Linked DNA regions of Ovis aries. The protein of the gene in region 3 purifies or fractionates together with the protein of the main gene of each other region. This does not show direct contact. Links are inferred from orthologs where the notes say so. Each region holds a gene or a part of one and is shown on either strand. Other genes may lie near its edges.

Region 1 (6,135 bases), on a different chromosome or scaffold from region 3:
TGGGAAGCTTCCAGGTATATGTATACTACTACTACTACTAAGTCACTTCAGTCGTGTCCAACTCTGTGCGACCCCACAGACGGCAGCCCACCAGGCTCCCCTGTCCCTGGGATTCTCCAGGCAAGAACACTGGAGTGGGTTGCCATTTCCTTCTCCAATGCATGAAAGTAAAAAGTGAAAGTGAAGTCGCTCAGTTGTGTCCAACTGTTCGAGACCCCATGGACTGCAGCCCACCAGGCTCCTCCATCCATGGGATTTTCCAGGCAAGAGTACTGGAGTGGGGTGCCATTATAAATATAAAACAGGCATTATATTTCAAGCTATTAAAGTGTAGAGTTAATGTCTGCATTTCAGTATGTCTAAATTTTCCATTGAAAAGCTCATTATACTTCTGTTCACTTTGTATCTGTTTGAAAGTTTATGTGTAAAAATAACAAATTATTTTAAATAGCAAAGTAAACTAATTTTCCTAAAACTCGTTTCTGTTGTTTCTGACAAAAGAAAAAGAATCTTGCATCTTAAAAAAGACAAGAGACATTGCTACCTTCATTATTCTTTTGCAATGTTATGTGAAAACATATATGACAGAAGACATGGTGTGTGCAAAAATGAAGATTACTTCACCTTAAAAAGTTACAAAGGGAATGTGAATCCCTTCAGTTCAAAGATAGTTCCTTACCTCGGGTTCGTGTGGTTTCCATGGTTAATGGGTGTGACAATTCCTAATAAACGGATGCAATACTGTGCCGTCCCATACAGCAGTCACATATGGCCATTTTAATTTTAGTTTAAATGAAGTATATTAAATTATAAATTCAACTATCAGCCTCACCAGTTACATTTCTAGTATTTAACACCACATGAGCCTATGGCTACCATACTGGGTACAGCAGATATAGACAGCTGCCATCACTGCAGAAAAGTTCCACTAGAGAACACTACTCGAACACATTAAAAAACATCCACAGAGAAACCATCATAGTCCAGTTCCAGGTTGTTATACTGTATTTTGGGCTTCCCAGGTGGCACTAGTGGTAAAGAACCTGCCTGCCAATGCAGAAGATGTACAAGATGCAGGATAGATCCCTGGGTCAGGAAGAGCCCCAGGAAGAGAACACGGCAACCCACTCCAGTATTCTTGTCTGGAGAATCCCATGGACAGAGGAGCCTGGCGGGCTCCAGTCCATATGGCCGCAAAGATTCAGACAGGACTGAAACAATTGAACACACACACACACACTGTATTGTGCTACAAGAAACAAATCTTGAAGAACAGGGAAAACAAAGCATAATATATCAACAAAGAAATACCATTCATGGAAGTTTAGACTAACTAGAGTTAAATTTTACTTTCAGAACGACCAAGCTACAGATGTTGGCCTTGGCAACTGCTCAGAGGCAAACTTCCCCATGTGTTAAACTAGATTATCACTATACTGCCAGTTTCCTAAAGTCAGATGTAAAGATTATGCTGAAATATAAAGCAAAGTATCCTGTCAGTCAAAGGTCTAATGAAAAGGTCTATTTATAATCCATGACATCAAAGAGTTTATGACCCATAGCAAAATACACGGAATAAAATTAATTTCCTACTCGAATTCTGAGGTAACAGGTGTAATTAACAGCATAATTAAATACATTGTTTTACCTAGATATAATGTTTAGCCAGATGATTTCTATACTTCTAAAACTGTGAGAGCGCTTCATCCGGATAGGTATAGATTTCGTTAATGCCCACTGACATGAATGTGCAGTATCAGGAAACAGGTGCACTCTTAATTCAAATATTTTAAAATATTTTTAGCACTTAAAAAAAAATGGAGGCGAACAAATTTAAAATGTGAATTCAAATAGATTTTTATATTTGGAAACCTAGAAAAATAAAAACAAAAAGCTTCATCTCATATTCCCATCCCAAGTTATCACCACAAACGCTTGGAAAGTGAACAACATTCCAAATATCAAGGGATCGAACCGGGGGCTCCCGCATTGCAGGCGGATTCTTTACCAGCTGAGCTCCCAGTGAAGCCCAAGAATATAACAGAAATTTAAAATCAGCTCTTTCCTTGCTAAAACTACTGGGCACTTGAAGCTTAGTCAAATCAATTCTATTTAAAGCATTTCAAACCACCGAAAAGGTCACTCATTAATTGACGCACACTTTATTTTATCCACACTAAATACTTTTAAAGGCACTGTCTTTACAATCCACTACCAAAGAAAGAAATTCTCGAGAATGAAAACATGAAACTGAAACCAACCTACAGCCAAGGTGTACAGAAGGGTCACCTGGAATCAATCTGAAGGAGAAAGTTACTACTACCGGAGCATCTGGAGTCAAATAAGGAACTATATACATACTTCTAGTTCTATACTGACCTCACATGGTGCTTTCTTATATTATACACAAGCCTACCTAGGTTTATATATTTGAATTAGTAAATGGACTCTATCTTCAACCAAACTTAAATGTTTTAAAGAACAGAACAGTATTTCATACCCCTTTTCCCATTGTTCTCGAACCCTTACAGTTCATCAAATCACCCCGATCAATCTATCTCATCTGTTCCCGCTAGTTGCTTCCAAAGAAAAAGTCTAACAACCAAGGACGCCACATTGCAAAACACAGTTAAGAGTTCTGGCACTACTAAAACATGTTAAGAAATCTTGGCAAATTAGTTAAAATCTCTTAAGCCGTAATTACCTCAGTTGTAAAGTGAATACAATGATACAAATCTACATCCGAGCAGGCATTAAGAGTTAGACTTAATTAAACAGAAGAATTGCCTCCGATTTTTGGTGGGCTCTGAATATAAGGTACCTCTCTCCCATCTCACATTTTTCTTCCACTTCTTCCCTTTAAGTTTGCAGGGTTTGCTCTCAGGCTCTACTTAGTGTTCCCCTTAACCTCACACTCCATCCTGCCCTTCTACTCTACCCCATACTCCAATTCCATACAATTTCACCCCCCACCTCGTTTCAAGCGGCTACTTCCCTTTGCGCCCTCTAAGGTCCCAGACAACCCCTTCACTCTGGTCCCCAACATCTCCCTCAGTCCCCATTTCCTAATGGCTCCTCCCCTCGGTTCCCCACCCCCTCATCACCAGGTTCATCCTGCCCCTCCAACCGTCTCCCGCCCCCAGGTTCCTTCCTGCCCCTCCAAACACAGCTTCCCCGTCTCAACGTTTCATCTTGTTCCTCCAACCGACTTCCCCCAATGCCCTGCTCGCTCCTTTAGACCCTATTTTCTCCAGTACCCAACTGACTACTCCTTTCCATCCATTCTTTTCAAGGCACCCCCATACACATACTGCAGCCCCCACCCCCACCTTGAGCCTCCATCTTTCCCTTTTGCTTCCTTTCTTCCTCCTCCCCACCCCCTCCACCTCCTCCGGAAGAGCCTGGTTCCCAGGCCAAGGTCTCTCACCTCATTCGGTCACTTCAGTGGTGCCAACCGCTTCATACAGGAAAAAACAACCAATCACGACCCCGTGGGCGCTTCCCTTGCGAGTCCGAGCACTTACTAGGCACCCGCCCCACCGGGCACCCCGCACATACACACGCACAAACCGAGGTCCTGGGGACGAGGGTTGGGGAGGGGTAGAGTGAGCGTTCTTACACCAGCCTCAAACACAGCCCACTTCGCTACAACCCTTCGCCATTTTGGTTTCCCGCGGACTGCCGGTGCATTCTGGGAGAGCGGAGCGCCTCCGGTGCCGAATGGCAGCTCTCCAGAGCCGCGAGGGGGCGGGGACTGCGGGGCGAGCGCGGAAGAACACCGCGCTCTGCGTCCGCGGCTAGGACTGAACAAAGAAGGACTCTTTGACTTTGTGGTGAACTAAGTCCTTCCGCCGCCGGCGCTAACACAATAGTGAACGGTGTTCTCTGGTGTATTGGCTCTTTCTGTTACAGAGGGAAGCTTGTGTTCAGCTTTCACGTTGCATGTTCTGTTCCTGACAAATAGAACGGTACCCCTTACGTCTTGCCCTGCCAATTTTCTTTCTATGGAGAAAATCTCTTACCTTTATCCTGAGGCCTGTTCGAATTTCATTCAGCGGGGAAGAGGCCCGGGACGTCAGAATCACATTTTGTTCGGAGATTATTGTCCAGCTCCAAATTCCTTCCTATCAGGAGATTTTCACACTTTTTTCCCCGACGATGAAAGATTTCTCTGCTTATCTGCTTTGCAGATTCTTAATAATTGTGATGAAAACTGAGAATAATTTCGTCCTAAGTGGTTTATTTTGGGAATATAAAACTTTCTTGTGCTAGAGCAGACCCTTAGCCTACGAATATTCTGCTGCAGATGTCCTAAGTGACAGAGTGAATGCTTATCTCTGTGACTTCTACTTAGATAAAACCCAACTCCTCTTAATAGGCACATATGGTACCTTTGTTTATAACTGTCAAAATACTCTAAAAATAATTTTTAATTTTTGTCTCATTACTTCACAGGGATAATTAGTACCATGTTTTCCCGTCTAGGAAGACAGCCTCAATCTATCTGCTACCTTTCAAGTTTCACTTTTATAATAACCTATTTTCTCATAAATTTGTCTTCAATCCCCTTCACACTTCTGGTTGAATAGAGTTTAATTTATTTTTAAAAAGGTATACGTGCTGTGCAGCTAAATCTAATCACAGAACATCAGTTTTAGAGAACATTTGGTCTGAATTCCCCTCAACAATTCTTTCAAGTGGTCATCAAGTCTCAGCTTCAACATCTTTAGTGGTTCAGTACCTCGGAGGCAGTCTTGCCGATTTCACAAACGCTAATAATTAGAAAGTCCGTCCTTTTATAAATGTACAATCTGCCTTCCTGTAATTTCCACTTACTGGTCTAACTTTTAGCTTCTTTAGCCACACAAAAGTGTTCTGATCTTTTATACCTTAGAGAAGTCAACGATGCCTGTCTTTTTGGGAAAAAAAAAAAAAAAGTTTACTTTTTCCCTATGTAAACATATGAGTACAAAAGTGCAATCATTTCATTTTAGGAAGCCAGGTGCTCAGGGAATCGAGGGCAGTGAGGGAGTCACAGTAAAATGCAAAGAATTTCTGTAACGGTGGTCTCAGAAATTACTGCTAAGTAAGCAATGGACGTGAATCTGAGTGAACTCCGGGAGTTGGTGATGGATGGGGAGGCCTGGCCTGCTGCGATTCATGGGGTCGCAAAGAGTCGGACACGACTGAGCGACTGAACTGAACTGAAGCAATATTGCCATGGGTTAGAACCTTAAGAAGAAACAAATGTGGAACCTCTCAGATGTACAAAGCAAAACAACTCCAGTCCAAGTAAACTGTACTCTTTGTTGTTATGTATTTCTCTGATGGTCATACGGGTTGCTCACAAAAATTCTGGTTCTCCTTTCTTCCAGACAAAGAGTAAAATTGCATTTTACGTAGAGTTAGGTATGGCTGTGTAGCTCATTTTTACTAATTGCATTTTACCTAGAGTTAGGTATGGCTATGTAACTCATTTTTACCTATAAAATGGATGAGAAAATCAATCACTCTCTAGGAAAATCTTTAAGAAGCAGTTGCACATCCCCTCCTGCTTGCTGTGGTGATCCTGGAAGCTTGTGCTGTGATGGAATATCTTTCATTTTGGGTCCCTAAATGAAAACAGGAGAGACTAACATTGTATAACCATCACCGCAATCCAGTTTTAGAAGATTTTCACCACCCTAAAAAAAGTCATTATGTCCATTTATAATCAATACTTGTTCCAACTCCTGCTGTTTCTGCTAAGTCGCTTCAGTCATGTTCAACTCTGTGCGACCCCATAGACGGCAGCCCACCAGGCTCCGCCACCCCTGGGATTCTCTAGGCAAGAACACTGGAGTGGGTTGCCATTTCCTTCTACCCTGCCTGAAAGTAAAAAGTGAAAGCGAAGTCGCTCAGTCATGTCTGACTCTTTGTGACCCCATGGACTGTAGCCACCAGGCTCCTCCATCCATGGGATTTTCCAGGCAAGAGTACTGGAGTGGGGTGCCGTTGCCTTCTCCGACTCCTCACCCCAGGCAATCTGTTATCTGTTGCTGTAGATTTGCCTTTTCTGGCCATTTCATATGAATGGACTCATACAATGTGTAGTCTTTTGGTCTGACCTCTTTCACTCACCACAATATTTTTGAG
Region 2 (6,267 bases), on a different chromosome or scaffold from region 3:
CACAAAAGCCACAGGTAAAGCTGTTTATGGCCTGGCAGCCAACCAAGGCCACAAGCACTTCCACAGGCCACAATCTAACCCTGTCAACTATTTCTTTCTTTAAAAGAAAAAGAGAATTTAAATCGTGTTAACAATCATCCTTTCTACCATAATTTGAAAGCTCTCAGCACCTCCCTGCCGAGGCCGTTATAAACTGACCCCTAAATTCAGGCAATAAAACACAGGCCCACCCTGCTGGCCACCCACTTTCAACGATGGAAACACCTGTATCTTAATTATTTCCAAAACTTTTATTAGAATCATAATTATTCGAATTCATGAAAAGCATTTTTCTTCTTTGTAAGAGCACTTCCATACACACTAAGTGGGCTAGTACTCAAATGTTTCCAAACCAATCAAATCCTCTAGAATGAAGAGACTGTTGTACATTTAAAAGTAGGTGAATTTATTTTATGTGAATTATTTGTTGCTGTTGTTCAGTCCTGTCCTACTCTTCGTGACCCCAGGGACTGCAGCACGCCAGGCTTTCCTGTCCTTCACCATCTCCCGGAGCTTGCTCAAACTCATGTCCATTGAGTCTGTGATATATACCTCAATAAAGCTGAATTAAAATGTAAGACAGTGCAGGGACTTGACTGGTGGTCCAGTGGTAAAGAATCCACCCACCAATGCAGGGGACGGGGGTTCAATCCCTGGTCCGGGAACCCATACGTCGCAACAAAGGCTCAACGTAGCCAAAAATGATAAATTTTAAAAATAAGACAGTGAAAAGCACAAGTCACTTTCATTTTCTCCCTTGGGCTTTTTTATATTTTCCAAGGTGTCCTTAATGGAAAGTAAAAACAGAAATGGCCAGCAGTTGGAAGAAGATTGATTTCTGCAAGGTGGAAGACCTCTTCCTGACATTCTTCGGCCTTTGCCGGTCTCCCGAGACACAGCTGAGGGTAAGGGGACTCCTCCCTCCTGTGTGTGGCCTTGCGGAAGTCACCCCATGTCTCCAAGCCTCTGTTCCCTCGCCAGTGGACAGACCCAACGCCTACCGTGCCTTCGTCACCAAACCGTGGGAGCAGACATGTCAGGACTCTGAGAGCTGATGGCCCAGCACACACGACGGGTCAGTGCTGAGACCAAACTTCCTTCGCTGTAATCTCTCTGCACATCCCATCTTTAAAATTACCAAATATTTCAAACATACAGAAAATGGAGGAAAAAAGTTTTAGACCTGAGAAGAAGGATCAATGCAAAGAACTACAGACAAGCCACCCAACTTTGCCAAGTCTTGACAGCTTGCCATATATACTTCAGATTTTTTTTCCCTGAAAAATAGAACAGTACAGATTAAACCCTCTGTGTTCCTCTTTCTGATCTCATTCCCATCCCTCCGTACCCAGGGGTAACTGCTGTTCTAAATTTAGTATCTTTGATTTCCTATGCATGTTTTAACATTTACTATCTGACTGTATCCCTAAAAATACATATGTAGCATAGTTTTAAATTAAAAAAAAAACCTTTTTAATATTGCACTATTTTACCACTTTTCTAGACTGTGCCTATGTTGAAGCTATAGCCTGAGTTTCTTTTCCCTCCCGGTATATTATTCCATTGCACAAAGAGATAACAGTCTATCTATCTGTCGATGGACAATTCATCAACTCCTCAGTTTTTACAACTACATGCTGAGTAAGGGGAGGGAAGTCACTAAACGGTAGATAAGAGCATCTTCAACTTTATTAGAATTTTCCAAACTTCTTCTCCAGAGAAGCTGTATCTGTTCGCGTCTCCACCAAGATGGTACAGGGTTCCCAGGGGGCCGCATCCTCACTCCCTTCACCCCTTTCCCCGCGCTGAGGGACTGCTGACTGCTTGCCCTGCTTGCGTGGACGCAAAATGGTGTCTCCCAGCTCTTAGCATCTGCATCTCTCCCATGGCCAGTGAAGCGCAACATCTTTTCATATTTCTGGCCACCTCGGTTTCCTCTTCTGTGAACTGCCTGTGTTAACTCGTTTTTTAAAAGTGATTATTTGTGTTTCTCTCGTTTGTCCATACTTTCAACCTACTTCTGCCAGATCCTCCCAACGCAGACTCAGTTCACGGCCCTTCTCTGTTCTAAACTCCCTGCGGCTCCCTCTAGAACACGCACAACTCTAGAATAGGCCACAGGGCCTTGCTCAGTGGCCCTGATTCGCCTGTGGGCTAAAAACCAAACTCAGCCCAGGACACTCAGCTCCTCCTCCTCCAGGCTTGACCTGCGCACCCTGAACTCCAACCCAAAGGACACCCAGCTCGCTTAGTCCCAGGCCTCCAGCACACACCACGCCCCCAGCCTGGAATGCCTCCCTCCTATCTCCACATTCCATCTGAATGCCACCTTTTCTGCAACCCTTCTCCTCTCTTCTCAACTCAAAGCTGGGTTTGCCTCTGACTCGCAGGTGAAACTATACCTTTCTAGTGGCATTTATTACTCCTCCTTTGTCGTGTTTAAGCAGCTTTGCATTTTGCCCACTACTTTTTCATTTACAAAAGCACAGCTCTTTATTGTGCTGTTTTGGCCTCACCTCTGCAGTGGTCCTGTGGCACAAGGTAGTCGTTTACACTCTTTGAACAGACAGGGAAGGTGGTTTACCAGGGCACTAGCTCACCCAGCATCTCCCTTCCGCTCAGAGACGGAGCTGGACTTGAAGCCAGGACTCCACCGATTCCGCGTCCAGCTCTACACACCATGCCCCTCCTGTTTATATCCCTGCTGTTGCTGCCTGGGCCAACCCCTGGCTCCCCCTTGAGACGGTGAGTCCCGCTGCCCCCAGTTCTAGTCTCACTGCTGCGGGAGGAGGGGGGGGCACTCGGTGAGTACATGATTTCTTGACAAAGTTACAATTATCACTTATTGCACACCCACTGGCCGCTGAGGGCTTTGCATACATTAACCCCAACCTTCCCAACAACTCTAGAGGAGATTGAAGTTTGAGTTGAAATGCTTTGCTCAGGGTCCCACGCCCCGTGGAGCTGGCAATCTCTGCCTTACGCATAACAAGGGTAGACCCAGCCAGCCAGAGAGACAGTACCCCAAGGCCCACTCCCCAGAGAGTGAGTCCGGACGCGGACATTTCTGCCCATCCTCCCCAGGGCCAGGGCCGATCATGACTGGAGCCGTGCCCCCAGCCTCAATCCGCTATTCCTCTGACTCCGTATGCTTTCACCGGGCGCCACTTATTTGAATGTTGTGTTTGTGTGTGCGTGTGTCGCGGGGTGTTTCCAACTGTATCTCTGTGTTGTGTTTCTCCGCTTGGCTTTGTGTGCGATCTGTTGTTGGTGTCCTCTTCCTCTGGCGTGTTACTGTGTTGTGGCGCTGTGCCTGTCTGCTTTATGCGCCTGTTTTGCTGTGTGTCTGCGCTGTGTACACTCTTGCGTGTCTGTGTTAATGTGTGCTCTGTCCTGTAGATCCTGAGTGCTCAGCTTGCGTTTGTGCCCCGCGCCGTGTCTCTACGCAGGCCGTCTCCGCTGCAAGCGCAGGACGCGTGTGTGTTTCTGTTGTGCTAGTCCCCTTTGGGTTGTTCCAGGTCTGTCCGGGCAGCGCGTCCCTGCGCCCCCGCACCTCCCCGCTGTGTGTCCCCGCCAGCTGACGTCTGCGCCCGGCGCGCAGAGCCGGGTTTCCTCGACAAGTGTGCGCCGGCCCGGGCGCCGCGCGCGCGCCGCCGCCGAGGGGCCGTGCCGGGGCCCCGCGCCCGTGTGCGCCCGCGCCGCGTGTCTGCGCCGGGCGCGCGGTGGCGGGGGATGCGCGCCCGCGGGCGCGGGGGCGCGGGCCGGGGCGCGGCGCGGGGGCGGCCCGGGGGCGGGGGCGGGCGGGCGGCGCGGCGGGGCCCCGCGACCGCGGGCTCCAATGGCGAGGCCGGCGCGGCCCCCGCTAATTACATAAGCGGGACGTCAATAATTCGCGGGAAAACGCGAAAAAGATGGCGCCCCGCGCCCGGGGGGCCCCTTCCTGAGCGCCCGGGCCCCTCCCTCCTCCTGCTCCGGCCCCCCTCCTCCCCCCGGCGCCCCCGCCCCGCCCCGCCCCCGCCGAGACCCCGACCCCGGCCCCACGGGCGGACACTCGGCCGGGCAGCCGCGGGCCGAGCGCAGCCGCCTCCGCCGCCGATGCGCCTGGTGGCCAGACTCCAAGTGGGACCGGCGGACACGCAGCCTCGCGGTGAGTTCAGCGCTGCAGGCGGCCGGCCCGGGCCGGGGACTCCTCGCCGCTCTCGCCTCTCGCCGCAGTCATCCCTCTTTTGGAAGTTTCCCTGGACTTTGGCGGGGCAAACGCCTCGGGGCCGGGAGGGGGTTTGGAGTCCTGGGGAGATGCTCGCCGGGGGCGGGGGCGCGGGGTGGTGGAGAGGGGCGCACGGTGTCTGCGGGGCGGCGGGAGCCCCGCCCGGGTTCCCGAGCCTCTGGGGGGGGGGGTGGCGTGTGTGACAGGTCGCTGTTCCCGTGCCCCAAATCTTTACTTTTCCTGTTTGGTGGGGGGACGGGCCTGGAGACCGATGGGGCCGTTTGGGATTTTGCTCACGTCCGAAGTCAGGCTGCAGCAGGATGGGGATGGGGGGAGGCCTGGCGTCGGAGCGATTGAAGATCGGAGCGCTTGAACCCGAAGGGGGGTCCTTCTGCAAGCGTTTTCCCCTCCCGAACACCCTTTTTAAAAAGCCAACGGCCGCCCTGGGAGAGGCCCCGGCGCATGAATCATCCTTGCTTCCTGCCCCCGCCCGGCCCCGCGCTCCGGGGGCCGCGGATTTGAACTGGACGCCGACGAGAACCCGCAAACAGGCATTTCTTTGCAGATGGGTTTGAATCAGCCAATCACAGCCCGCGGGGGCCCGCTCCGGGAGGATGAAGGCGCGGGTGGAGGGGGGGCCCGCCACCCGAGGGCCCCCGCCCGGTCAGGGAGGGGGGTGCGGCGACTGGGCCTGCTCCCAACGGCGCGGCGGGGGAGGAAGTGTCAGTTTGTGAACCTGCCGCGGGCCCGGGCCAGGCCCGGCGGGGCAGGACCTTGCAGCGCTCGGCAGCCAGGTGGCAGGGAGAAGGCAGAGATTTGGACCGCACACCCTGCCCGGCGCCTGTGCGCTGTGCCCTGGAGAGGAGGGAGGAGTTGGGCGGGGGGAGGGAAGAGGATGCGGCCGCGCCACCATCTGGAGAGTGAAGACCCCAGCAATGCCCTGCGTGCCCCGGGGCCCTTGACATGCACACGCATGTGCTCCGTTTCCTTTACTCGCCGCCACAGAGCTGTAGACATCAAACACCGCCTCACAGGAGCACACACGCACTCACACGGAAACACACACACGACTGTCTCCCTGTAATCTACAGGTAATCATAACACCAGGTGCCCAGCGCCTGGACAGAGGAGGGGACTGGAACAGTGGGTGCAGGGAACAGAGGGGGCTGTGCTTAGTGGAGAGTGTGTGGAGCCGCCTGGAGCCAGGTGAGCCCAGATTGAGGAGGAGAGGGCCTTGGGGTGGGGGACTTTGAATGCCACTGAAGGCTTTGGGGAACCACAGGAGGTTTCTGGGAGAAGAAGAAGATGGGAAATTGTTGGCCCTGGAGAGGAGTCTGGTGGGGAGGCAGGAAGACAGGGAGTGGCCTGTTTAGCGCTGTGCCTAGGTGGTACCATTCTGCGTCCCAGGTGCCCAGCAGCTGAGTGAGCATGAAACAGTTATTGAATGAATAAATCAATGGCCCAGGCAAGATGAGGCTTGAACTCAGACCAGGCCAGGGAGATGGACAAGAGGAAGCCAGAAATCACTGTGCTTGAAGTTGGCTGCTTGTGGCAACTCATAGGTTGGAGAAGTCAAAGATGCTGGGTTGTTCTGGGGACCAGAGTAGTACTGTTAGCAGGAAGTGGGAAAGCACCAGGAGCAGTAGGTTTCATAGGATGGTGAGAGACAGATGTAGAGAGGTTGGCATGGCGATGACTTCACTGCTTGGAGCCAATTTGCATCTGAGTAAAAGCATAAGTGAGTTTAAATGTCCCAGAATTGGTTTCCGTTAAATCATCCCATAACTGAGAACAGCAAAGGAGATTACAGAAGACACAGATGGCCAAGTCTATACCAGTTCATAAGCCATCAGTTTTCCTTTCTAGGTGAGTTTTCTCCATAGCTCTCAGGAGAGGGAGCAGGGGTCTGAAAACCTCCCACTGCTCTCCTGGAGAAGGCCCTCCACTCAGAAAACACGGGGTATGTTTGCTTTAGGGATAAAACCTCTGGCTCCAAAGCCAAGGGGTATGGTTCAGATCCC
Region 3 (5,529 bases):
AACCAGAATGTAAGTTAATTAAAAGACTTATTATTAGGAGGACAACTTTTCCAAAATGATTTTAACAGACTCCTGAGACTCCCTGGTAGGCCCTAGGAATCTTCCTTTTTCCCATTCATTTAGAAGTGAATGGAAGTAAGTCTTTGCAATCCACTTTTTCAGTCCCAGGTTCAACTAAAAAGTTAAATAACAGTTTACATCAAAACATGTCCACTACGGTTTTTTTCCATGCATTCTCTCAGTTCAAGATACTCTGGCTTCCTTAAATAAAAACAATTCAAAACAAATGTTTACTGTGTATAATTAAAATATTTTCAGTAACTATTATACAAATCCATTGGATTTATGCTTTGCATTTATAGAGAGCAACTAATTACATTTATTATTTTTAAGAAATCACAGACCTGTTACTCCAAGTTGACAAACAACTATCACAGTCACTTGGAAAAAGCAAAGTCAATTTTTTCAGCCACTTAGAACAATATTTACAAAGACAAAATATAAATAGAGACTTGTTTCATGAACAATTTTGTGAGTATATATGAAAAAAGATGTATTTTCAGTCATGAATATTAGTTTTAATTTTTGACAATTTCTAGAATGTTCCATTTTTACATAAAGAAATGATACTGTCAAATTGGCTATACAAAGTTTACTTCAAAATCATTACACTTCAGTGTTACACTAATACCAGAGACTGATGAGCCAAATGCCAAAGAGCCCCTTAACACTCACTCTGTTGCTTCCTACAGTTGCAAACACTAATGGATCTCCTTCTTTACTGTGCCAGTTAAACTGAACTCCAAACAATGGTTGATTATGATCCTCCTATAAAATAACCAAGAAATAAGAAAAATCAATATATTTTAAAAACAAAAAATGTAGTAAACTGATCATTCCCATTAAAAACCTTCCCCTCCACAAAATGCAAGCTGCAATTTTATGTTATCATACATAAACTGACTTTTGACACTTAAAAGATATGTTAGTCCAGTTTTCACATTTTAAAATACTGGTGCATGATAAAACTATGTAACAATTAAAGACTTAGAGCTTAGGTAACAAGTACTCATCAATGAAAATACTTTAATAGTTGCTCTCTATCTTCTTAAACCGAAATGCCATGCTTTTGAATCAAAATATAATGGATAATTGTGACAAATGCATTTAATCTCTCAGGACACAATTTATTTTTCTGAAATAACAAATAACCTGAGTTAATACAGTTTCTCCAGTACTCATTAAACGTTTTCTGGTTGAATTCTTCCCTTGTGAAGTGAAGAAAATTGATTCCATTCAAATCACTGCTCACCATTAGTTCTATAGAAACAATTTAAAATTACTTTGAATTTGGATCCTAAAAGAAAAACCACCTAAGAAGTTTTATAATGAATAAGAACACTTGAAAGTGGGGGCCAGGGAGGCAGTGGGCTGTAACTCCACAGTTATCAGGAGGTTATAGGAAGTGCCTAAAACACAAGCATCCAGTTTTTGGTTTTAATTGGAGTAGAGCTGATTAACAATGCCGTGTCAGCTTCAGGTGCACAGCAGAGTGGTTCAGCCACACACACGCCCGTTCTTTTTCAAACTCTTTTGCCATCTAGGTCACCACAGAATACTGAGCAGAGTTCCCTCTGCTAAAAGTATTAAGTTTTGTTCATAAAGTTATTTTTCAGCCTTAGGATTTTACTGGCAATTTCCTGATGTTTAACAGTAACCTTCATATTCACTTTAAGGCACTTTAAAGTCTGATAACATTCATTTCTTATCCTTTAAAAAGCCACAGTTTTAGGCTTTGGAAATATTTAATAAAAACAATACAGTTCAAACCACTTTCCAAATATACTACATAAAAACAAGTTAATACACCTAAATATTAACATGAAACTACAAAGGGACACTTTGCTTTAGAAGAAAAACACACACACAAAAACACTGAGATTAATTTCTCTCCTTTTAAGACAGTATAATTTGACATACACAGCAATGGATTTTGCTACCTAGATAGGAAAATAATTTCCATATGGAAATAATTTCCAATAATTTCCATAGCTTCTTATGCTTTTCAAAGACTTTAAAAGGATATTTAGGTATTTTAAAAAGAATCTAACATATGCACAAGACACTATAAGGTATATTTTTGCTCAGTATAGGAAAAAACCCCAAATTAAAAAAACAGGAAATGAATACATAAAACACTTAAATATCAGTAAACATTTTTTAATAATAAAAAGACTATTGAGAAAGACAGTAATCTAAATAACATGAACCTATTATTTCTCCCAAATATTAAGTATGCAAAACAAATTTTAATTTATACCTTTTTTCTTGAAAACAATTACAAATAAGACTTCAATTTTTAAAGACTGACTTCCAACTATTATAACTTTAAAATATTTTTAACTTGACAGAGAACCTTGAGCATAAAATGTTTGCCATTGAGAAACCTGCAATTCTGGAACCCTGCATTTAGCCCATAGATTGTGTCTTTCTCCACATACCTTGAGACTATTTACACATTTGAAAGAATATTTGCATTTCTTTGATTTCCATTTTCCCTTCCCCCAACTCTTCCTTCCAGGTGCATTTGGCGTATTTGTAGGTGTATCAGGGCGTTCTGTGTTGGTACCGCTTTCTATACTGACAGCATCATCCTATAAGCAGCAAATCAGAAAAAACTATATGAAACAGCAATACTGTACTTAGGAAATGACTTCAAACTGGAGAGCTGCTGACCAACATAAAAGAAGTAATTAATAAATCCTGCAAGAAATGAAAAAATGTATTCCTGCAAATGCATTAGCATTTGTGGATATTTGCTATTTCAGCAAAAATATAAACAAAAATCAAATCCTGATGATGCTAATGGTAAGAATAATACTGCTTTATTATTAATAAATAAATTAATAAGGCACTGGTTTGTGCCAGCCATGACACTACATTGCCTCACTTCATCTTTACTGCTCTTCATACAACGTACTGTTAGATACGTGTTGCTTAGAGGGCCTAAGGTGGTGTCTTGCTGGTTAGGGTTGCTGGGATTGAAAACCAGAGCTGTGACTCCTACATCTGACTGACCTACATGTCCTCATAGTTTATTTGACTGCTTGCTGCTCAGTCTGGAGCATGGCAGTGGGTGGCTGTTTGAGGCCAGTGTGTTAGTACTTCCTATTTTAGATGAAAATCCTGATTATCACTCAAACTCTACTTATTTATAACACTTAAAACCATTTAGAAACTTTTTTAGGTTCTACATATTACGTGCTATTTACCAGTGAAATCTGACTCATGGCTCTAAAATACTCATGATTCAGACCTCCAGAAGCTCACTGTAAAGTAACATCTTTCCAAATTCACCTAATTTATATCCTGTCTCCAGTCTACAAGATATATTAATGGTCCTCTACTCTCAGAAGAGGATTTCACTACCTCTTCCAATTACACATTCCAAAGTGTTCTTTGGCATAAAGAGATTTATTTAAACCTGTATCACCTTAGGGCAGTAGTTACTAAATTCATTCCAGAGGAAGCTTTTTTCATGGAGTGCCCACTAACATCTATGAGAATACAGACTAGAAACCATTGCCCTAGGAGCTATTTTTAAATTACTGCTTTCTAAAGTTAGTTTTACGATATTACAGAAAGTTAAAAATCCACTAGAATATCAAAAAAGTACATTAAAAATTCACATTAATTTGCTTAAAACCTGTATGGTATTATATGGTAGTTTTTAGGGGTGGTTTCCAAAACTTCCAATGGTTCATACCAAAACGAAATGCTTTTAAAAAGTACACAACTTATTCTAACACTACAATGGGAAAAAAGCAATGGAGTGGATAGATGGCACACAGCAGTGCTCAATATCTAGACTGTAACTTAATGTAAACACAATCAGCTTTTAGATACAGAAAATACAAAACTATACTTATAGAGTTCAGTTTCTAGGTCGAAATCACTGCTTTTTAATCTTTATTTCTTCCTACCTTTCAGTTGAATTTACACAGTTAAAATTTAGTGTAGAAAACAATTTTGTGTTTCACTGGGAAACTTATGTCTACTGCACACTTTCCTTCCATGTTATCAGATTCTAGTCTGCTTCACTGCCTTTGAACAATCTTACACCTCTTACACTGTGGACAGCCAAAGGCAGAGGTTCAAAATGTCTTCCCTTTCATTCTGAAGAAAAGTTTTTGTCTCCATTTGCAATTTCATCTCTACATTCCTTTCATCTGTATAGTTTGTACTGTGTGACTTAAATTGACCAGTTCCCTTACATGAGTAAAATGTTTCTGAAAATTATCTTTTAACACTAGAGAAATGAAACAATACAATGCTTAGACATTTATTCACCAGCTTCTTTCCACTCTGGCTAAAAATTCAACTGCTAATCAAGAAGCCACACAAAACATAGTAAATAACTGGGGAACATTACACACACACACCTTTTACCCATTTAATTTACCCATCTCCTCAAATAGTCAAATCAAGACAGAATCAAATGGAAATGCAATACTCACAATGCTTTCATTTTATTTGTAAATTCAAACCTTTCCTGAGCATCTAGTATGTGCACAAGATGATATCCACCTTGACTCCTCCTCCTCAAAGTACAGAATGGTACTGTGTAACAGACATGGCACTACCACCTTCATCTGCTCAACAAGGAAATGGGGATAGTAGTTTGTCCCTTGATCTTGCCACAGGTTCCTTAAAGCAAAGTCAAGTCTTCAGATTCAGCCTTCTGATCTTACTACCAGGCAACAATCAGTATTCTTTCAGAAGCCAATTATGCTGCACTTATATGAAAAAGTTAATAAAATGGCAGGTACATATACAATGAACTTAAAATAGGTCCGATATTAACTACACTTACTGTGCTGATCATTCTGCAATGCAAATACTGAATTATTATGTTGTGCACCTAGAACTAATAACATAATGTTATTGGTCAATTTTATCTAAACTTTAAAAAAGTTTAACATCCTATCAGTTCTTTGATTCACTTTAACAGTATCAACTGCTCAGATTACCATAACTCCAACTTACAAATACCAGATTCTTTCTTCCATTTGCCTTTGGCCTTCCCATCATTATCTAGCTCCCTCAAGAGTTAAATCACTGCCCTTATTAGCTTTTTCTGAATTCATTTTTTACACAGAGTTCTCTACTCCCTTCCTTTACTGCTTCTCTTAACTTATGTCCTAGATCTGGGTCCCTGAATGGAATTCAGAGGGCCTGTGAACTTATGCAGTTGAATAAATTCATAAATAAATTTAAGATTGCATCTTAATTTTCACATTTTTAACCGAAATCTATTACTTCCTTCTACTATAATACAGGCAGTATATGTGCTAATGTTACTGTAGCTGTAACCTCCTCAGCAATGGAAATCATGAATTTTTATATTCCATTATAGTTGTTGCAGATCTCAAAAGCTGTCTATACCCATCAGTACTATCAGTCATTGTGATGTCTAGTTACTTAACGTAATAAAAAAAGTACTTTATTAAACCTGAAATTTGTTTTAAA
Region 4 (6,072 bases), on a different chromosome or scaffold from region 3:
GGAAGTAAGAGTAAACTGTGTATCAACTTTAAGGTTTCCTAATCTTACCAAAATAAACATCAGTACACTTAAGGCTGGTTTTGAATAACTTTCTCCTGGGGAAAACAATGTTTTTGGAATTGTGTGACTTAATTATTTTATAAGTTAATCACTTTCACAACACTTAAAATATGTGTGGTAAACTGACTCCTTGATCACAAGCTTTATATCCAAATCTTTACAATTAGTTCTTTCTTCAAAAGAAGCACTTAAAGTTAAAAATATTTAAAATATTTCAACATGTTCTAAAGAATGTTACATAAACTCGAAAGTATAATCTTATTTCAAGGTGAAAGCTCAATAGACATTCTAACAAGAGAGTAAATTCTAAGGATAATAAAATCTTTGCAACAGGAATGCCTCGTGTTTTTAAAAAGCACTTTAAAACCACGATATCCTTCCATCAGTTACAAATATAAAGACTTCCTACCATGAAATCAACCTATAAAATCCACAGATTGATGTAATCTGCATCAATTTATAAGAATTATGAACTCAAAAAAAAAAAAAAGAAACTGAAAGGCAAAGGAGGGGGGCATTTCAAAGTTAATATTATCAAGATCACAAACAGTTTCACTAGCAATAAGGTTTTTTCATACGTGATAAATTCATTACCCTGTAATAGGAAAAAGATTATAGTATTTTGTAGTCTCTAATATTTAAGCATCCAGAAAAGCAAGCATGCTTTTTTTTAATCAAATTTTAACCTTATTTGGACTTGTGGCACCAGTATCTTACTCCTTACTCTGAAATGAGTAAGAATTACTTATTCAAGTGAGTATCTAATAAAAATTACGTCAAAACTCCACTTGCTGAAGTATTACTGGACCAACTACTCACAGTCTCCTAAAATGACATAGTAGATAGACATTAAATTTAAAAAACGAAAAAAACAAAAACCTGGCACATACTGCTTGTAGCTTATTTAAAGAGAATAATTCTAACTCTGGTGAAGTCGAACTAGCAGGGGACTTGAGAACCTTTGTTCAGATCCAGCTCCACCACTTCCATTCCATAGTTACTGTTTTGAGTAAGACACTTAACTTGCTTCTTCTCTGTTTTTAAGTCTTGCACCAGAGTTGTGAAAATGACATGATTGGCACATTTAAATCCTTCAGTGCTACTAGGCAAGTACGTGTGTATGCTAGGTAAATGGAACAACTGTGGAAGACGCCGAATTGTATGAACTAATGTCAACTTTTAAATATCTACTGGTACCAACGAAGGCGTATACAGTAAAACGACAAATAACATGCTTCGTTAGGCAGTTCACACCAATCTTTTAATTTTCTTAAAGACATTCTCCTTCCTATCCTGCATACATAGTTCAGGACAATTTTTTCAAGGTTTGCAGTCTATTTTACCCCATTCAAGGTTATTTCCTTAGATATTAAAATAAATGTCAAATAGAATTTGATGCTGTATTTTCAAAATATTTAGGGCTGTGAATTCCTCATAATACTAAATATAAGCCAAGGTGTTCCTTTTTTATCAGTTAACAATAGAATTCCTAGAACTTTAGAATACTTAAAACTTTCAAATCCAATATCGATGGTTAAAATTCTACTGCTCATCCAAACATTAGCAGACGGTCAAAATAATTGCTAACATACTTTAGATGCAGTACAATACGCATGACGTGGTTCTGTTCTAGCAAAATAAAATACATTAACAACCAATTAGTTAAAATATGAAATCTTCTGGAGATGAAAAATAATGACAATAACATCTGAAACATACCGTAACAATGAGTATCTTAAAGCCCCCAGAAAATGAAGCGCATTTTTGTCAGTCTCCACACTTTCTAAAAAGCTTTAGAAAACTACTACTAATCTCTTCAGAAATCTCGCCAAAACATGACTTTAAATACTATCACCTAAAATCACGGCTCTTGTTGAACCATTAGTGTACACAGATTTTAAAACGCATACTAACATGTTGTACCCTAAGACTGCATTTTGTTACCACTGCAACTCTCTTCGGCTCGGTAAAGTTACCTTAAACGACACCAACTCATTATTCTCTTACACAACGATGTATACAGTTTGAGAACTTTCTCCCCAGTTTGACCACCAACCAAATAAAGAGAGATTATTAAAATCATTTTGGAGACCAGGTTAAGGAAGATACGAGGAATTCTGGAAGCGCTAGTCAAATAGAAAAGAATAGTCTTTTTTTTAAGTAAAAGAAAAGTGATGGTTGGGGTCCCCCTCCCTGAACAAGGAAGTTCTCTTACATCCAGGCGAGACCAGCCATGTTGGAAAACACTTGTCAGTTACAGTTGTGACAAGTCTTCGCCAACATCGCCCGGGGAAGCTAACCTTGTGTACCGAGGTGTGTACATCAAGGCCCTCTTCGGCTCCGCCGGAGGTTCTGGGCCTACTTTGGGGATGGTTTCCGAGTTGGAGCCGTCCTTCGGTCCGAACGGAGCGCAGAGCCGAGGGGGAAAGAGGGCGGGGAAAGGAGAGTTGGGGGGAAAAGGGTTTTGAAGAGTTGGAAGCCGCTATCCGCAGCGAGAGGGGCGCGGCGGCAGGGAGAGGTTTCCGAGTTGAGAGCCGGGGGGGAGGGGGGAGGGGCCGAGGATTCGGGGAACAGGGGGGACTCTCAGCAGAAAAGTCCCCCTCGGAGGGGCCCAGGAGCGCCAGAGGAGGAAGGGAGGCGGAGGAACGCTTCGGAGCACTGACCTGTCCTCCGAGTCCATGCGGCTCAGGGGTTCCCCATCCGACGACATCTCCAAGCTGCCTCGCCGGCCCCCAGAGGTCGCGCTGCTTCCGCCTCCCCCGGTCCCGTAGCCCTCGTCGCCGCCGCTGGAGACGACGCTGCTGCTGCTGCTGCCGCCCCCGCCGCCGCCCTGGCTGCCCCGCGGTCCCTTGGGCTCCTCCAGGCCCTCCTTGCCGTCCCCATCCCCGCTGCTGCTGCTGGCGGCGCCGGGGCTCAGCGAGCGCGTCTCGTCGCTGCTGCTCCCGCCGCTGCTGCTGCCCACCAGGCTCTCGGCGCTGCTCTCCTCCTCGCCCCCGCCGCTGCTGCTCTCGTCCTCCTCCTCCTCCTCGTCGTCCTCCTCCTCGTCGTCGTCCTCCCCGGCCTGGCTGGCGCTCTCGGGGCTCGGCTCCGACATCGTCTCCGCCTCGCCGCCCCCCACTCCGCCGCCGCCCCCACCGCCGTTCAGCAGCAGCGCCGCCACCGCCTCGGCCTCCGCCTCCTCCTCCTCTTCTTCCTCCTCCTCCTCCTCGGGGGGCTCAGCCCGGCCCCGCGCCGCCGGCCCGGGGCTGCCGGGGGGCAGAGGGCTCAGGCGGGAGAGCTCCTCCAGGTCGGCCATGTCGGTGAGAGCGGCGGCCATGGCGGCGCCTGCTCCTCCTCCTCCTCCGGCTCCTCCGCCTCCCCGCCGCCGCCGCCGCCTCCCTCTCTCGACTCTCGCTCCCTCGTCCCCCTCCCAAACGCTCCAAACTCGGCCGACGCCGCGGCAGAGGGGGAGGAGGGCCCGCGAGCTGCGTCAGCCTGCACACGCGCTACGGAACCCGCGCGGGGACAGGCGCGCCACTGCGCGCACTCACGCGGAGACGGCTGCGCGCCTGCGCGGCGGCACGCGGTGGCGCCTCCCCTCGGCCGCCGGCTCCGCGCCCGCGCCCCCGGCCGCGCCCCCTCTGGGCCCCCGCCCCGGCCCGCCGGGACTCAGAGTTTCCGCGGGGCCTGCCCACGCCTTCCCCGGCCGCGCGGCGGGCGGAACACGCGGAACGAAAAGCTGGGCGCCGGGCGGGGATTCTAACAGCCCCCGCCCCGAGGGCTCACGATCGAGTCATTCATTCCGGGAGTGTTTGGGGAGCGTCCCCGGCGCGCGGGCGCTGAGCCAAGAATCGAACAAGTCCCTGGGCTCCTGAGAGCTGACAGTCTAAGAGGAGAGGCGAGGAAAATGAGTAAAAATGAATAATACAGTGCTAGGTACTGAATCCATACGCGCGACGCAGAGCCACAGGTTTTTATCTAACCTACGTTCGAATACCCCGAGGACTGGTTAAATCTCAGTCTGAGAGCAAACATCTGTGGGCAAGAGCTTCAAACTTTTTAGCTCCTGAGCCCTCTGAGACGATTTTGTACATCTTCGTACATCCACATGTTTAAAGTGACAACCACATTTTTTCCCAGCCTCATAATTTACGACTGTCACACTTTTGTAAATGTAGTCAACCAATGAATCCTAAATGCCATACGGATTTAATACCCACCAATATCTTTTAAAATACAGTCTCGTTTATACTTGGGCAATTTCCATCCTTTATCCTCTGGAGCTCATTTACATTTTACATCTCGCAGAATTTTATCCTAATATTTTATATTTGAACTGTTTTATTGTTCATCTTATATATTTCCTGTATACATCTTATATACACAAAAAAATGTGTATCGAAATTGAAATTCAAGGGTTGTTTCTAAATCTCCTGAGATCATAACACTCAACACTTGTTTCAACTGATCAAAACAAATATATTTCAAATATTTACAAATAGATACTAAACCCTCAAATTGGAATTTTGTTGACAATGCATCTTACAGAAATGAAATTGAATACTTTTTTAAAAGCTGTATTATTGATCAGTGGACGAGTATTTCTAGAATGAAAATGAGATGATTCCATTCAGTTACAAACTTTTAATTCCTTGAATGTAAGCACTGAAAAAACTTGTTCACATTAATAAGTACATGAGAATGAATGGAGTTTTGTCAGAGCAATGCAATTCGATTCTTTGAACTCTTTCTAAATTATATGTCCCCAAAAAAATCACATAAAGATCTAACAAGAAAAAAATACTTTTAATGATCTATCCGTTGACAACTCTGACTAGGTTCTCTTTCAACTTTGTCGAAAGCAAGTAATTGAACACCACCTGACTTGTAAAAAGATGTGTTACTCATTCTCATTCACCACTCGATTGTTCCTTTTTCTGGTGTCCGGGAGGATTTTGCATACCCTGCTAGGTAGGTTAGGAAGATGGGTGAGGCAGAGTTATGCCTTTCTTTTGCAAAGCAGTGAAGGGTCACTTGGGATAAGGGAAGCTGGAAAGGAGCCCACCTCACATCTGACCCTGAGGCACATTTTCAGACAGATCAATTCTAGGTGTAAGAGAAGGGAGAATCAGAGAACTGATTGCCTTAAAACAGGCTCTGCACTCAAACACATCTTAGAAAGTCTTCATACATCATGAATACCCCAGCATTATGTCTACAGCCTTAGGCCTTTGGACAGCTTTGTTCCGTATGTTGCATCAAAAGAAAGCAAAAATAAAAATAATAAATAATACCATGGGGCATTATGGCTCACAGATACCTTCACAACGCTCATACAAGGCAAAATGCTAACCACAAACATTTCAACCTCAAAGCCACTCTTTGAGATAGACTGAGAAAGTATTTTCATCCTCCTGTGTTGTCAGTTAAAAACTATCATAGTTTAACTGAAAAGCGTGTATTAAGTGTATGTGCCAAGCACTGTATTAAGCCCTAGAGATTTTGGCTGCGTTTGGCAGACGTACTAAAGGAAAACATCATGAAGAATGTAGGATTTGAACAGTTGTGTACATAACATACAATACATTTACGATGGAGCCAGATCTTGAAGATTGAATAGACTGAGAAATCTGTGTGAGGGGGAATTCTAAGACTGAGACATTGGAAAAGCATAAAAATTTAATTTGTGACTGTTAAGCATGAGAAAATGAAGTTACAAAAGTGAAAAAGACTTCAAGATGAGATCACAGAAAACGCTAAGTAAAAAAATGTTGACTTTGAAAGATGACAGAGTGAGTGAGTGAGTGTGTGTGTGTTTGTAGTCAGAAAAATTTTTTAAGGTGTGATATGATTAAGTTATGTTATAAGGTTATCTAATGTTACAGGTGATATGGAGAAAAACGTGAAAGGATGGAAACGTGCATGGCAATTAGGTAAGTGGAAATGGCAGGTATCAAACCCACAAATGAATGCTCTGACTGCAGTATTTCTACTTGAAGACAAAAACAAACTATCTTAGAACTGGCTTTCTGG

What was found. Proteins that work in one complex are often made in the same cells at the same time.
Region 1: the proteins of EED (region 3) and MTF2 purify together in Homo sapiens (affinity purification with mass spectrometry; 3 studies listed by BioGRID and IntAct, with this or other methods). This does not show direct contact. The link is inferred for Ovis aries from reciprocal best matches to the Homo sapiens genes EED and MTF2.
Region 2: the proteins of EED (region 3) and PHF19 purify together in Homo sapiens (affinity purification with mass spectrometry; 8 studies listed by BioGRID and IntAct, counting the BioPlex papers as one, with this or other methods). This does not show direct contact. The link is inferred for Ovis aries from reciprocal best matches to the Homo sapiens genes EED and PHF19.
Region 4: the proteins of EED (region 3) and AEBP2 purify together in Homo sapiens (affinity purification with mass spectrometry; 6 studies listed by BioGRID and IntAct, counting the BioPlex papers as one, with this or other methods). This does not show direct contact. The link is inferred for Ovis aries from reciprocal best matches to the Homo sapiens genes EED and AEBP2.

Annotation. Positions count from the first base shown.
Region 1 is NC_056054.1:70,261,043-70,267,177, reverse strand, and holds the start of MTF2 (metal-response element-binding transcription factor 2), read right to left. Parts: upstream 3,666-6,135; 5' UTR 3,433-3,665; coding exon 3,428-3,432; intron 1-3,427. UniProt on the Homo sapiens protein: Polycomb group (PcG) protein that specifically binds histone H3 trimethylated at 'Lys-36' (H3K36me3) and recruits the PRC2 complex, thus enhancing PRC2 H3K27me3 methylation activity.
Region 2 is NC_056055.1:2,683,895-2,690,161, forward strand, and holds the start of PHF19 (PHD finger protein 19), read left to right. Parts: upstream 1-2,602; 5' UTR 2,603-2,784; intron 2,785-3,936; exon of another isoform or gene 3,937-5,337; intron 5,338-5,433; exon of another isoform or gene 5,434-5,452; intron 5,453-6,112; exon of another isoform or gene 6,113-6,206; intron 6,207-6,267.
Region 3 is NC_056074.1:8,811,943-8,817,471, forward strand, and holds part of EED (polycomb protein EED), read right to left. Parts: intron 2,655-5,529; coding exon 2,502-2,654; intron 829-2,501; coding exon 736-828; intron 1-735. UniProt on the Homo sapiens protein: Polycomb group (PcG) protein. Component of the PRC2/EED-EZH2 complex, which methylates 'Lys-9' and 'Lys-27' of histone H3, leading to transcriptional repression of the affected target gene.
Region 4 is NC_056056.1:196,106,910-196,112,981, forward strand, and holds the start of AEBP2 (zinc finger protein AEBP2), read right to left. Parts: upstream 3,666-6,072; 5' UTR 3,377-3,665; coding exon 2,724-3,376; exon of another isoform or gene 2,384-2,723; coding exon of another isoform or gene 2,361-2,383; intron 1-2,360. UniProt on the Homo sapiens protein: Acts as an accessory subunit for the core Polycomb repressive complex 2 (PRC2), which mediates histone H3K27 (H3K27me3) trimethylation on chromatin leading to transcriptional repression of the affected target gene.